Danio rerio: one gene and its partners. The protein of the gene in region 1 interacts with the protein of each later gene in a pairwise test. Links are inferred from orthologs where the notes say so. Each region holds a gene or a part of one and is shown in the gene's direction. Other genes may lie near its edges.

What was found.
Region 2: the proteins of vim (region 1) and ppl interact in binary tests that used the Homo sapiens proteins (3 or more experiments, as listed by UniProt). The link is inferred for Danio rerio from reciprocal best matches to the Homo sapiens genes VIM and PPL.
Region 3: the proteins of vim (region 1) and kat7b interact in binary tests that used the Homo sapiens proteins (3 or more experiments, as listed by UniProt). The link is inferred for Danio rerio from reciprocal best matches to the Homo sapiens genes VIM and KAT7.
Region 4: the proteins of vim (region 1) and crmp1 interact in binary tests that used the Homo sapiens proteins (3 or more experiments, as listed by UniProt). The link is inferred for Danio rerio from reciprocal best matches to the Homo sapiens genes VIM and CRMP1.

What each region holds. Positions count from the first base shown.
Region 1 is NC_133199.1:36,348,418-36,352,766, forward strand, and holds the start of vim (vimentin), read left to right. Parts: upstream 1-1,510; 5' UTR 1,511-1,577; coding exon 1,578-2,113; intron 2,114-3,650; coding exon 3,651-3,711; intron 3,712-4,349. UniProt on the Homo sapiens protein: Vimentins are class-III intermediate filaments found in various non-epithelial cells, especially mesenchymal cells. Vimentin is attached to the nucleus, endoplasmic reticulum, and mitochondria, either laterally or terminally.
Region 2 is NC_133178.1:35,315,561-35,319,127, reverse strand, and holds part of ppl (periplakin), read left to right. Parts: intron 1-537; coding exon 538-635; intron 636-719; coding exon of another isoform or gene 720-725; coding exon 726-883; intron 884-1,491; coding exon 1,492-1,670; intron 1,671-1,891; coding exon 1,892-2,030; intron 2,031-2,124; coding exon 2,125-2,318; intron 2,319-3,567. UniProt on the Homo sapiens protein: Component of the cornified envelope of keratinocytes. May link the cornified envelope to desmosomes and intermediate filaments. May act as a localization signal in PKB/AKT-mediated signaling.
Region 3 is NC_133187.1:6,548,155-6,552,489, reverse strand, and holds the start of kat7b (histone acetyltransferase KAT7), read left to right. Parts: upstream 1-1,477; 5' UTR 1,478-1,606; coding exon 1,607-1,621; intron 1,622-2,153; coding exon 2,154-2,204; intron 2,205-4,182; coding exon 4,183-4,330; intron 4,331-4,335. UniProt on the Homo sapiens protein: Catalytic subunit of histone acetyltransferase HBO1 complexes, which specifically mediate acetylation of histone H3 at 'Lys-14' (H3K14ac), thereby regulating various processes, such as gene transcription, protein ubiquitination, immune regulation, stem cell pluripotent and self-renewal maintenance and embryonic development.
Region 4 is NC_133176.1:15,736,906-15,740,472, forward strand, and holds part of crmp1 (dihydropyrimidinase-related protein 1), read left to right. Parts: intron 1-107; coding exon 108-272; intron 273-561; coding exon 562-623; intron 624-732; coding exon 733-813; intron 814-2,052; coding exon 2,053-2,121; intron 2,122-2,222; coding exon 2,223-2,343; intron 2,344-3,567.

The sequences.
Region 1 (4,349 bases):
CATTCACACTCGTACACTAAGGTCAATTTAGCTTACCCAATTCATATGTACTGCATGTCTTTGAACTTGCACTTGTGGGGCAAACTGGAGCATGCAAAACCCATGCGAACACGGAGAGAACATGCAAACTCCACATAGAAATGCCAACTGGCCCATTCACAGCTCAAACCAGCAACCTTCTTGCTGTCAGGCAATCATGCTACCCACTGCGTAGCACCATGACACCCATCAGTGAATGCTTAGGTATTAAATAGTACTAACATTAAATAAACAAATAAATACATAATTTGACTTGAATAAAATCTTCTTTCAGAAGTTACCTAAATTATTCAATTATTATTCACAAATCTGCTTAATACCTCAATCTATTTACCCCAAAGTTAATTAAAAAATAACTCAACAATATTAATAAGCATAATTAGATGCTGTTTACTGTGGTGCACTGAGGTTTATGACAAATATTAAATCCCTCACTCATCCCACAAATCCCACAATCATTTTGTGTTGTTCTCTCAGGTAGGATGGTCTGCTTTGTCCACCCATCGGTTCAAGCATTGGTATATCTTTGTCTATTAATCTATCCTGGGTTTACTCCCCTCATATCTGCAAACGTACATTTGTGAAAGAAAAAAACTGTCTCTATAGCCTTTAGTCTCAGGAATTTAATTTATTGTACCAGTGGTGATATAAGGGGAAAAAAGGCTTTTAAATAGCAACCCTTGCATGAAATAACCTGCAATCAAAGTTGCAGTTGAAAGAGTTGGTTTCTCTACATACCTTGAAAAAGATTTTGAAACACTGGTCTGTAGATGTTCTGACTGATCTGTAATTTTTTTGCTTGTTTTGATGAATGATGTTATCTGTTTTTTTTTTTTTTTGTTAAGCCGAACTGCTTAATTTTGGCCAGGAGGCTCTTGTAAAAGAGACTTTTAATCTCAATGTGCTTTTTCCTGGTAGAATAGAGGCTATGTTAATATATGATGATGATGATCAATAAGGCCTAAATAATTAATTCATTTTTATTTTTTAAATAATGCTAAACATAAATTGGCTAAACAGACTCAGTAAAAATAACTTTTGCTGCTTGTTTAAACTACTTATTTATAATGAGTTGAAACAAGACAGTTCTTAAGTTTTTTGGGGGGACAACTTGATTGGTTTATGTTCAATTCACTTAAATTTGTACAAAAAAATTATATATATATATATATATATATATATATATATATATATATATATATATATATATATATATATATATATATAACATGTAGGATTTGTGTGGAACCCTGCATTTTGCATATATTTTTTATAAAGAATTGAACAAATCTTCTAACAAAAAATAAACAAATCTTCCAGCTTTTTCCCCATGAAACTCTCTCACTGCAGGTTCTGGAGGGTCTCCTCACCCCTCCGCCCCGGCGGCGTGCCTGCGTCACAGAGCCTCCCGCACCGTTATGTCATTAGCATAGGGAGTGGACTATAAAAACCAGCCGAACCTCCGCAGTATCCCCGTTTGGTCTGGACAGGGTGCGATATTTAGACTTCAACAATAACCCGCAAACTAAAGGATTACCATGGCCAGTCGAACAAGCACATCTTCCTATAAAAGGATGTTCGGCGGGGAGCGTCCCGCGGCGGCGCGGTCCACTTTCTCCAGCCGGCAGTACAGCAGCCCAGTGCGCGTCTCCTCCTCGCGCACGTCCTACAACTACAGCAGCGCGCCTCCATCCGTGTACGCGAGTAAAAGCTTGAGAGTGCGCTCCGGCGCGCCCCTTCCCAGACTCGCCACCGACACTCTGGATTTCGGGCTTGCCGAGGCCATAAACACCGAGTTTAAAGCCAACCGGACCAATGAGAAAGCGGAGATGCAGCACCTCAACGACCGGTTCGCCAGTTACATAGACAAAGTGCGCTTTCTGGAGCAGCAGAACAAGATCCTGATCGCGGAGCTGGAGCAGCTGCGGGGCAAAGGAGCGTCCCGGGTCGGAGATCTGTACGAGGATGAGATGCGGGAGCTGCGGAGACAGGTGGATCAGCTGACCGGGGAAAAGAGCAAAGTGGAGGTGGACCGGGACAACCTAGGGGAGGACATCGAGCGCCTCAAGGAGAGGTCTGTTCTGGCACTATTACTGTCTAAAAACTTAGTGTCAAGTGTTAAATAACTTGCAGGCGCACATAATATGTTTTACGTTTTGTTTTTGTTATTTTATGCTAACTTAATGTGCATTTAAAAGGTTAACAGATGAATGTTTGTCTGTTTTTTTGTAACTTTCACTATGTTTTTATACTTAAACAGCCTATAGGTTAGTCATAACTAAATTAAACTTTACTGATAAATATAAATATTATTATTATTATTATAAATATTTATTATTGTGCTTATTGTTCATTGATCCTTTCTGGATCTCAAAAATTTTAGTGAAAAGTTCTTCAAAAACTATTTTAAAACAATTTCATAGCATTTTGAGAATCTTTTTCCACTGTAAAGAAGCTTTTGGGAAATTAAAAGGTTCCATTGAGGTTAAAAGTTCTTTCTTTCGATAAAAGCATTTTTAGGCAAATACAGTGCTCAACATATATAAGTACACCCCTCACAGATCTGTCTTTTAAATTTATATATTTAATAGTAAGCGATACAATATTATATTTGTGCATATAGGGTACATTTAATCAGTACTGAAGCCAAATCTGGAGCTTATCTAACAAAATAACTTATGATAATTAATGAAAAACTAGTACAGCCAAATTTATGTTATAGAAAAATATTAAATACAAATTTAAAAAAGAGGAAAAATCCAGAAAAGCAAAAAAGGGGAAAATTTTGTTGAAATTTTGTAGGTCGTACTTAGTTTTTGCAATATTTTGCTTTAATTTAATTGTTTTATCCATCAATTTTTAACTATGTTTGGTGACTAAAATAATATTTTAATAAATATATCTGTTTAGTAAATCTGTTTTGTTTAAATGCACCAAAATACATCGCCTATACATTCGTAATGCTTAAATTGACATTTGTTAGTATAATCTAACAATGCATTATAAAATGCTTTGTAAAACGTATGACTCGTTTAGAAATACTTCATTTTAAATGTATAGGCAATCTTTTATGTTTGCTATAAAATAAAAAAGTGTTAAGCATAGGCTAGCAATTGTGCAATAGTGTAATCATTATGACAGTATTTCATTAAAATAAAAAATATATATAATAAATATATAATTTAATTTATATAATATATAAAAATGACTTGTTTAATACAGAGATTTAACAATTCTTAAGACATTTCATTAAAATATGATCAGATATACAGTTCATAATGATAAAATCAAATATTTTAAAACAGGAACCATTTTACATAGCATAAATGCTAATATTAAATCATGTTAATGGCTTGAATTTAAAAAAAGCTGACATTTTTAAACAGTGTTCAGTGTCAAATAATAGCATGTTGAATTTCTATTGGCGCAAATCTCTGTTATAAACTTTTTTTTAACATTATCAAGGAAAAAAAACAACATAATTTCTTCATGTTTTGATACAGTAAATTAAAATAAACTGATTACTGATTTCTATCCACTGTGTGATGCTCCACGAGGCTGTTTTTATAGTAAAGGGTGTGGCTCTGCTTAAATATGCATCTCATTTCCAGACTTCAAGAAGAGATGCTTCAAAGAGAAGATGCTGAGAACAGCCTCCGCAGCTTCAGACAGGTACATCCGCTCACATTCACAGTAAAGAAATCACCACAAACAACTATTTGCGCATGCATGGTTGTCATTCTTGAACCTGACGTTTGATCGAGTGCAAACAAAGCCACTATTACGCTGCGATCAGTTAACAGTCGGTCCAGTCAGTGTGTGCAAGACAAGTCTTATTGTGAGCAGTCTGTGCACAATCAAAGGGTCAGCGCAGGCCTGGTCAAGCTGCCCTCTCGGCCAGCATCAGATTTAGACACACACCGCTGAAAACAAAGCTTTGTCTGAGAGCCGGCTGGCTGTTCATGACAAAGCAAACTGTTGTGCGGATGGGAGGAGACGGCGTTAACTAGGGGACATTGGTGACTTATGGAGGACGCAGAGAAGAGGATGTGTGTGTGTCTGTGTATATGCATGTGTTTTAAAGAGTATCTGCCACCCACAGCTGCAGCTGAACAAATTACTGGCAGCGGGCGAGCTATTGTTATTCATTGGTTAAGTTGAATTTACATACAGTCGAAGATGACATTGTTAGCCCTCCAATTCTTTCGCAAAACTTACTTCCAATACTTATCAGAGCAAAGACAATTTCACAGTATTACTATTTCCTATTATATGTTATATTATATGTTATATAATATGTTATATAATAT
Region 2 (3,567 bases), on another chromosome or scaffold:
TTTATTTTATATTTGCCATGATGACAGTAAATAATATTCAACTAGATATTTTTCAAGCTTAAAGTGACATTTAAAGACTTAACTAGGTTAATTAGGTTAACTAGGCAGGTTAGGGTAATAAGGCTTTCTCCAGAAAACAAAATATTATCAGACATACTGTGAAAATTTCCTTGCTCTGTTAAACATCATTTAGGAAATATATAAAAAAAAAAAAAAAATCAAAGGGGGCTAATAATGTCACTTTAAGCTGTATAGAAGTGTCTTGAAAAAATATATAGTAAAATAATATTTACTGTAATCATGGCAAAGATAAAATAAGTCGGTTATTAGAAATGAGTTATTAAAACTATCATGTTTAGAGATGTGTTGAAAAAATCTTCTCTCCGTTAAACTGAAATTGGGGGAAAAAATAAACAGGGGGGCCAATAATTCTGACTTCAACTGTACCTAATAAATCCACTAAATCTGCAGAATTGTCATGTCATTTTCACAATTTATACATTTCCAAGTGTACTTATCCTGAAATCATCTTTGCAGTCTGATAAACCAACATAAAAGCATCAAACAGAAAGTCGCCAGCAGCAAAACTGCACTACAGGCCCGACTGGCAGAGCTCAAGAAGGAGAGTACAGGAGGTAAAGGCTTGCCTCTTATGTTATAATAAACTATGCAGAGCTCTTCCAAAGAGAGAAAAACGCTAAATTTGCTTCTTCCTCCAGGCGCAGATAAGCAAGAGCAGCAGTGCCGTCAGCTGATGGCAGGACTGGATAAAGTTGTCAGCGATCTGGATAAGCAGGAGAAGGCCATTTACTCTCGTGTGCGCCCTCCACTGGAGCAGACGCGTCCTGTGCAAGACAGCGCTGATAGGCTGCAGGACATCAGGGTACAGATTATGACTGTACTGCATTAGACTTGTCACAAAGCTTGAATATTGATGCACTTTTGTTGGTTTGATTGCTTCTAGTTTTGTAAAGTCACTTTCATGTTTTCATGTAAATTTCATGTGCACGTCACGTTTGCACAATCACAATATAAAGTGTAAAATAAGATAAATTCTGGGTTGTTAGATGCAAATTTACAAATCATTGAAAAAAGCTTGAATCATACTAGATGTTAACTCACAATTGTGTGGGGTTAAAAAGCTGAATTGAAAACATGTGTCAGAGAAGAGATTTCTGAGTTAAGATTTTACCCTTTTTATTGGAATTATAATCATTTTTCTTAGAATGTTTTTTCTCTGACAATGCTGCATTTTTAACTTGGTTTTAAAAAGTTAGCATCACACATTTTGTTGATATGTGAGGAAAAAACATTCACAGTTGCCAGATCTACAATATTTTATGCTGTCACAGAAATGGGCATCAACATATTATTGGGCCGTCATACACAAATGCTAGATATAAATGTGTGAAAGCAAACAAACGTCTGCAATATAAACATAAAAGCATTGCTTCAGATCCTGTATTTCTTACTCTAGTGTTTTCTTCACAGGACATTACTTCTGCTGTCAATAAGATAGAGCCAGAAAAGTCTGCAAAAGTAAAGGAGGCTGAGGCTTTCCTTAAATCCTCCCCGAAATGCGCAAGTGCCCCACAGCTCTACTCCAAGGTGGATGATACTAACAAGAAATACAACAAAGTTGATTTGCTGCTGAAATGTTCAACTGACAAGTGAGCATACCCCCTTTCATTACAGAGTCATGAATGCCACACATGATATATCAGGGTCTAAATCAGCTTATTCCTAAAGCTATCATTATTAAACAGCCTTAAAAACACATATTTAAAGATTTACATTTTTCAATTTGCAAATATAAACCTTTATGTTCCTTTCTATACCGATTTATACACCAAAGCATGAATTGTGTACCAAATCCTGCTTTGTTTTGTAGACTGCAGAACTCCTATCAGCTGGAGAACTCACTGCAGAATGGCAAAACTCTGCTGTCCACTTATGAAAACAAACTGGCAAGAGAAGAGACTGCCCCATCTGACCCCGCTTCAATAGAGAAGACCCAGCGCGAGTTGGCGGTAAGCATTGTAATCAATGATACTTCTTTCTCTTGATCTATTTTTTCCAAACAGATTCATGATGCACTGGTGTTTGCTGTGCTCTTGTCTCTAGGACATCGCGTCTGAGCTGAGAAGCAAAAGATCTATCATCACACAGACTGAGCAGAACCTGAGAGACGCTAAAACCAGCTGCAGTAACATGACCAATAAAGTGCAAGAGCACTGTCCTGATATCGAGAGGCAAGAGGCGGAGGTTCAGAAAATGACCAAACGCTTTGACAACCTGAACCGACAGACAGAAGCAAGGTGAGCTCATTGGTTAATCCGGCCCTGGACACAACTGATATAAGCAAACAGGTTGTTGAAGGTAGGAAGGAGAGTGTCTAAGCATGGTTAGAAGAAACAATGTGAGATGTTGGGCAGTTTATGAACTTGTACCACCCTCCATACTATACTTTCCTGACTCCGATTTAGTAGTTTTATATAAAGTGTATGATGGACAAACGTACACCAGAGTAGATCTGCTGCAAGTCATGGATTTAGCATGTAGTGATATAGATGAGGAACCATGTCAGGGCTGGATATGGCACACAAGAGGCTTCTTCCCCCATAGCTTCAGGACAGACCATATTGGATTACAAAGTGTTCTGGTCTGACTCGGCCCAAAGAAAAGAAACAAATTGATTTATGTTTCCACCTTTGATTTTTGTCCCTTTTAGTACTGTATACAGAAATACAGTGCATTGTAGGCTGTATACTATACAATAAACAAATTGTATGGCCCCGAACATTGAGATTAAAATGTAGTTCTCTTTAAGAACTATGTTTTAAATAATGGGTTTTCTGTATTGTGTTGTATTGTCCTCTGACTACTTGATAGTGTATATCATTTTGATCACTCTGTTTATTAATTGAGAGAAGTGCTTGATTTTGAACACAGGTAAAACTGTTTTGAAGCAAAAGATTCATTTTGCAAGAGAAGGTCAGAGGTTTTGTTAATAGTGCTTGAGGATGAGATTTTGTGTTTAATGGTGTAAGTATATTGAGCAAGGGTTCAGAAATTGTTTTAGAAATCGAGAAAAACTGCCATTACTCACCCTCATGTTGTTTCAAACTCCTGAGATTTTCATTGATCTTCAGAACACAAAATAATCAGAGAGCTCCCTCATCCTTCATAGACAGCAAGGTCTCTGACTCCCGATTCAAAGTTCGGAAAGGTACCAAAAACTTCCTCAAAGCAGTCCTAATGCCTTCAGTGGTTTAAACAGAATATTGTCGAGCTACAAGAATACTTTCTCTCCTCATTGTCAGTATATTATGTGCATTCATGTGCACTCATGTATGGACCCCATGGGTGACTTTCTCTGCTGGAAACAAAACAAGGGAGCATCTGAATACATCAGAGCTCAAGACATGAATGTGCACCTTATACTGACACTGAAGAGAAGAAACTGATGAATAAAGTTGTTGTTTTTTCTTTTATGTGTGCACAAAAGTATTCTCATAGCTTAATAATATTGCAATTGAACCACTGAAGTCTGTTTTGAGGATGTTT
Region 3 (4,335 bases), on another chromosome or scaffold:
CATGCATACATCATATGTGTTTGTCAAACATAACCTAAAACAAATTGAAGTTTAAATCAAATATCACAGCCAAATATAGATTGAAAATATATTCATTCATTCATTTTCTTGTCGGCTTAGTCCCTTTATTAATCCAGGGTCTCCACAGCGGAATGAACCGCCAACTTATCCAGCAAGTATTTACGCAGCGGATGCCCTTCCAGCCGCAACCCATCTGTGGGAAACATCCACACACACACTCATACACTACGGACAATTTAGCCTACCCAATTCACCTGTACTGCATGTCTTTGTACTGTGGGGGAAAACCGGAGCCGGGGGAAAATGGAAACCCACATGAAGGCAGGGAGAACATGCAAACTCCACACAGAAACGCCAACTGAGCCGAGGTACGAACCAGCGACCTTCTTGCTGTGAGGTGACAGCACTATACTGCGCCACTGCCTCGCCCAGATTTAAAACATATTTACCCACAAGTAGGGTGACTCGGTGGCACTCGGTGGCACAATCACCTCACAGCAAGAAGGTTGCTGGTTCGAGCCTCAACCATTTTATATTTTTATTAGTGTTGAACATCTCATTTTATCTTTACATCCCCATATGGGCCAATTAATCCTGTTTTTTTATAGTAAGTAAAGGTGTAGTAACCATGCTTTTAGACTTGATAACCAATTCTATAACTACAGTTTAGGCTACTACAAAAACCATATACACTCTCAGAAATAACGGTACAGGAGCTGTCGCTGGGGCAGTACCTTTTCAAAAGATACATATTTGTACCCAAAGAGTCCATAGTGGTACCTCAAGGGTGCATTTTAGTGCCCAAATGTACCTTTGACATACCATTATGGACCCTTCATGTACTAATATGTATTTTTTGTAAAGGTTCTGCCCCAGCGACAGCTCCTGTATCTTTATTTCGAAGAAGGTGTTAGTTAACCAAAGAAATATTTTGTTTTATTAATTTATTTTGATAACGGTTATTGCCTAAAAGGTTATCTGGACATTCGAGCTATATGACATTTAATTGCATTAAATATGCTTTATTCAAACTTAATTTCGAACATTAAAATTAAATAGGATTGCCAACAAATTCAGGGAATCACAAAAAGTTTCTAGAGTTTTTAGAAACGAATATCAAAAAGTTTTTAGATCAATGAAAAATAGTTTACAATTTGGTACAGCTAAGCATACATTTTGTTTTGATGTGGTCATTTACAAATAAAATAAGATTTTTTGTTATTTTGCAGGCCGTTCATTCCACTGTGGCGGCCCCGGATTAATAAAGGGACTAAGCCGAAAAGAAAATGAATGAATGAATGAATGAATGAATGTTATTTTGCAGAACATGGATGTTTGTTGAGTCCTACTGGTCTAAATGGACGACGTCCCTCACTCGCTTCAGCGCCGCCATGTTTTCCGTCATTGCGTCACTTCCGCCGCGGTCCGGTGTGGCGCGAGTCGCGAGATAGTGAACAATTTGCGAGAACAGAAAAGGGCAAACTTGTGTTCACGCAGCTGCTGGGTTATATCTAATAACTGAAAACAAATAAATTCGTTTGACAAACGTGTGAAGAAAGCGGCGATTGGATTTATCGGAGGGAACATGCCGCGGCGGAAGGTGAGAGAAAATGCGAGAACTGGGTCAGTAGCCCAGTCGGCTGAGCGCGCGCTAACGGCTAGCTCAATGTTTGTTTACATGTTCAGACAAATGTTGTTTGTTTTCTATTAAAATGTTTCAATTTTTATCTCAATTGTGTTCTGAGTTAACATTTTAGCGCATAAGAATCGAAAAGCAAAGAAAGTGGCTTCGAAAACGGTGCGTTTTTAGGTAAAAGTGAAGCTAGTTAGCATTTTTTCTTTATGTGCAAACGTTAATGTTGAAAACACACTTGAGATTTAAAGTAATATTATTATTTCATTAAGGCAAGATACATTGCAAGTTTCCTTTTACCATCTGTCTATTTAGATTTTTTTTGCTTTTTAATGCTATTCAGAATACAATTCTACGAGAATACGATGATACTGTAAAGAAAACACCCATTATGCCCTTTTAATGTGTTATTTTCTAAGCTTTTTATCAAAATGTGTGTTTGTACATTCAGTTGCAATACATATTCTATTCTGAAAATGTTTTTGTTTCTCCTCTACAGGGCCATAAATCTCCATTTCAGCTGATCTTAAATAAACCCATAAATACTGAGGTAAAGTTCATTTTATTAATCGCACATTTAGACATTAATAATAAAGTTTCAGGAAAGTATTTTTTTGCTAACAAAGGAGAAGCTGGAAAAAACAGCAGCAAATGATCCAATCTGCAACCTAAAACATGAACAAACTGCCATGTTTAACGTTAACTAGTATCATCACCTATTGGACTATTATGAATTTGGAATGACGGAATTACCTTCTAACAAGAGGCTACATGTGCTGCTGAAGATTAAAGACACATATAAGAGGTTTGCGTCTGACTGGGCTATATTTCGTGTTGTTTTTGAACCCAAATAAGGACTAAATGTATGCTGTGTGTAGTTTTTATGTAATTGATAACATATCGGAGACTGTAAAGGTCTGTTTGTTTTCATATATGTTGTGTTTATTTATTTATTACATATAATTACAGACGCTACAGTAGGCTATTTTGCACTATCACTGATCTGTAGTTATAATCAAGTCATGTTCATAGAAGGGTTAGTAATAAACATTTAAAGAGAAGTATTTATGTGTATAAAGCTTCTGTTTTGTGAGAAGGGCTTCTCATATTTGTGAACGACCTGTATGGCTTTACTGTGACATTTCCTTTAGTAAAAATGATGTCATCTGAAACTTTGTCATACACCACTCCCACTAAAAGGGTACCTTTTTGGCTGTAGAAACGCAAGCTTGTTAAAGTGACCCCATTCCGACCGTGAAAACCGGCCATAAATGTCTCCCTTCCTAAGTTACACTTGCTCCTTTAGCTTCCTCACTGTCTATTTTCAAGCGCAGTGCGATCATTTTTGTCGCATATGTGCCCGAAATTTCATCTATGCATAAAATTGATGACGTTCGACCAGTTTTCACAACAAAATATTCACCACATGCGCAGATTTAGGAGGCATTCACGCATTAAGCATCTTTGCACCTAAAAACACCAAACGCAGCACTCAGGAATGGTTTAAAACAAGTGACTTGTCAACTTGCTGCAGTAAACAAAGCCTGCAATGCTTGCCCTGCCTTCTAGCTCTTCTTATTGGCCCACTGCGCTAGAACAGAACTCGAATAGATTGGCTCATATCAGCTGTCAATCAGACAGTTCCGATGACAGAGCTACAGCCACGAAAACGTAAAGGTAATCCATATGGAACATTGTTGTGTACAGAATATGGTCAGTCTATGTTACTGTTCCTATGGTGTATGTAAGTTTTTTGGCTTTTGTTTTAGGCTTTTTAGAACAACAGTATCCCCAGCAGCCTAAGCAGTTATCACAATACCGTTAAACCATGCTATATTTATCCAAGGTTTTCATACCATCTAAATCTTATGCCGTCCCATGCCTAAGTACAACAGTCAATTAAATATTACTTATATTGTTTAAGTAACATGGTAAACGATATAGGGACCAAGTCACAAGTTGTCATTGAACGAATGTGCGAATTTAAAACCAACTTTACCTTAATCCCATAAACCAGTGTTTCTCAACCACGTTCCTGGAAGACCACCAGCTCTGCACATTTTTCATGTCTTCTTAACCAAACACACCTGATTCAAATCATCAGCTCATCAGCAGAGACTGAGAGACTTATAATGGGTTTGACAGACAAAGGAGACATCCAAAACATGCATTGTTGGTGGTCCTTCAGGAACGTGGTTGAGAAACAGTCATAAACCATTACATTTTTCCCTTGCTGTTTTCAGTTTTTACAAAAACAGTGTAAAAAAACGAATGATCGTTTTTGAACTATATTTTTGTGCTAGAAATGTGCAAATTTAATGAAATAATGGATCATTTTTTACATTTAAACATCATTGTAGAACAATTGTAATGCTGTTTCTTTGCATTTCTTCAAGTAATCAATCGAAATCGTTTATAATCTTTTCCCCTGTTCAACTGCAGTGCTTAGCTCATTTTAAAGTGTTGTTTAATTCATGATCTGTACATGTACACTGATAAAGCACTGCTAATGTCCACTCTGTGTTTAGAGAACTGCGGGCAGTAGTTCAGACGGGACTGCAGATTCGGATGACTCTGGAGATCATGAGAAGACCGACAGCTCTCACGGTGAAGCCAACCAGCGCAATAACACCCGCATGACCCGAGCATCACTGCGCCTTAGCCAGAGCTCTCAAGGTAAA
Region 4 (3,567 bases), on another chromosome or scaffold:
ATTAAAGCATTAACATTAATACTATCTTCAAAAAAAAACATACAAAACAAAAAAGGCCTATATTTATGGTAGTAATAGATTACAGAATGTATAATTTCCTGTTTCAGTTGATCATGTGACACCACAGCCTGGAGATGGTCTATTGGAGGCCTTTGAGAAGTGGCAGGAAGCGGCGGATAAGAAGTCCTGCTGTGATTATTCACTACATGTCGATATTCCACACTGGCATGAAGGAGTGAAGGAGGAGCTGGAACAGCTGGTACAGGAAAAAGGTGAATATGTATTTAAAGATGAAACAATATCCCAACACAATAGTTCTGCAAAGCTGAATATACTCAGTACTTTTTATACTACATACTTGATTATACTGATGTTTAACAGCCACTTGTTGAAACCTGCCAAATGTTAATGGTTGTTAATAACCTTCAGTCAAATGTGTTGTCTTTTATTCAGCAAGGACGTATTTATATAATCAATTAACTTTCAGATATCTTACAGGAAACCGAACGTTTTGAATGGTTGTGAAGGCAAATGCAAGCTAATGTTCTTTTCTTTTGACAGGAATCAACTCTTTCCAAGTGTACATGGCTTACAAAGGGTTATACCAAATGCCTGACTCTCAGGTGAGTAAATGCTGCCGTTTGCAAAAATGCCATCTGTGGCTCTATATTTAGAGCAAAATATGCAGAAATACAATAAAGTAACTAATAGCATCTCTGTTTTTTCTTCTAGTTGTACGAAGCGTTCTCTTTCCTTAAGGAGCTGGGGGCAGTAGTGCTGGTGCATGCAGAGAATGGAGACCTGATAGCACAGGTACCTACTCACTTAAATCCCTAATAATAGTCATAATCAAGTTAGGCTTAAATTCGCTTGAAGTCTTACTCCGTCATAGCCCATAAAAATACATCCAGATGAAAATCTTTCACTCTATTAGGGTTAATCTTTGTGACAAATCACGTTTTGGTGCCTGGTCAACTATAATTCCAAGTCAGCATTTCAGATCTTGTGATGTGACTATTGCAGATTCTCACATTGCAATATTGATGTTAAATCTGTATATTGTACAGCTCTATAATAAATCTCTATTTTATTTTCGTTCTTCTTTTAGGGGTAAAACTAAGTTTGATGTTATTATGTGCTGCCCTTCTCCTCTCAATAACAAAAAATATCTGAGGGGGAAAAAAACAAGAGTGAGAAATCAGCAGTTAAGAAAGCATCTGATTACAGCGATGTGGATGTTAGTGCGAGCTCTGCTTTCCAATAACATATTGTTACATAATGTATTGTTATATACTGTAACACTTTATATATTAAATTGATTTTAATTTCTATAAGCTTTACAGTATTAAACCTTAAAACACATCTGCATTGCTTGAAATTAGAATTACTCTTCAGTTTCTATTAGGTAACTTTTCTCATGGCATGTTGTCTGAACATTTTCAAGTGAAAGAAGGCGGGGCCTCAGAGCCACACCTACCTATTACATAATCATCATGGCCCAATGGTAGCTTGAATGCATTGACACATTTCTGTAAAATTCACTTACTTTGGTAGACTCTTAAAGGGTCAGTGCACTCAAAAATGTCCACTTGATCCAAAAATATGTGAGTTTCTTTTGTCTATTGAAAGCAAGAGAATATTTTCATGAACAGTTGATGATCCCCATTGAGTCTACTTTGGAATTCATTTGGGAATATCAACTGTTTTGTTATCAACATTCTTCAAAATATCTGTATAATATAATATAATATAATATAATATAATATAATATAATATAATATAATATAATATAATCCTAGAGATGGGTTGCGGCTGGAAGGGCATCCGCTGTGTCAAAATGTGCTGGATTAGTTGGCGGTTCATTCCGCTGGGGCGACTACGGATTAATAAAGGGACTAAGCCTAAAAGAAAATGAATAAATGAATAATACAATATAAATAGAGTATTTATTTATTTATTACATGTTTATTGCAGGATCTGTTTATTGACCATACTGTCGTAAATTTTTACAATTTATCCATTTATTTAACTGTGTTAACGTTTGTGTTCAAGGAACAAAGCAAAATCTTGGGAATGGGCATCATTGGTCCGGAAGGTCACCCACTGAGCCGTCCAGAAGAGGTGGGATCAATAAACAAAGTGATGAACTATTTAGCTGATTAACTTGCTGATTGTTTTAGTGATGCGAACAGTCCTGATGCGGCTGGTTTTCTGTTTCACAGCTGGAGGCGGAGGCTGTTTTCCGGGCCATCACCATTGGCAACAGAGTCAACTGTCCTGTGTACATCACCAAAGTGATGAGTAAGAGTGCCGCAGAGACTGTGGCCATTGCACGCAAGAAAGGTGACAGCATATTGCTGAAAGAAGTCCCTAATCCTCACCCAGGCTGCATTTATTTGATCACAAATACAGTCAAAACGGAATTATTGTGAAATATTATTACAGATTCATATTATTTTTCTATGTTTGATATTTGAATATATTTTAAATGTAATGTAATACTTTGATGGCAAAGCTGAACTGAATAAATCATGAATTCAGACTTTTGTATCAAATGATCAAGACACATTACCTGTTATGATCAAAGTTGAAAACTTACATAAATGTATTCTCTTTTGATCATTTAATGCATTCTTGCTAAATATAAGTATTTATTTCTTTAAAAAAGTCTTACTAACTCCAAATCTTTAAACATTAGTGTACATTTCTAGAAAGTTCTTGTAATGACTTTAGTCAGGGTAGTGCGGGATATCTTGTTTGCAGTCCATATATTTAAAAATTCTTAAGGAAGCATTTTCTAGAAGCAAAAATGATTGTCTTTTCTTCAGAAAAAACACACTAAAATATCTTTAAAACAAACACAATAATCTGCCAGTTGGATAAGTAAAATAAACTTGTTTTTAGATTGTTTTGCTTACCCCAGTAGCAGATTTTTAACTTGTTTTATGAAGAAACTCAGTTAAAGGTGCAGTAGGTGATTGTCTTCAGAAACATGTTTTGTTGTGCTGGTTGAAAGTCTCTTCACAGTCCAACAGAAATTATTAAAGTAAATGATCTAAATGTTTTAATATGTATTTTTATGTTCTGGGTAAGGCATAAGACTCAAAAATGTTCATCCAGTTAAAAATTGTCAGGCCGACACTTCCCATAATTCTGATAGGTAGCCCAAATTGTCTGTTAGCAAATGTAGATTTGTAGAACTGCGCTCCTCTGTTCATGCAGATCTGCCATTAGCGTGTTCGCGTGGACACATGTGACAGCAGTAAAAACAACTGCTGAATCAGAACTCTTTAAATTCCTGAATCAATGTTGGAGTTAGTTTTGCACGCTGGAGGAAGGATGACATCATTGCTCTGGTATTTCTGTTAGACAGGTAATGTTCTGTTTTAAAGCTGTTTTAGTCACGCAAAGCTGATGTAGATTTGGTTGTTACTAATGGGTATATGCATGGAAGTGTTGTTTACTGAAATCTTCCGGCGAAAGATTGATTGACTATTTTCAGTTTCATAAGATACCTTTTACTGTAAGTAAAACATAAGTAAATAGCACTATTCCACCTAGCCTTAT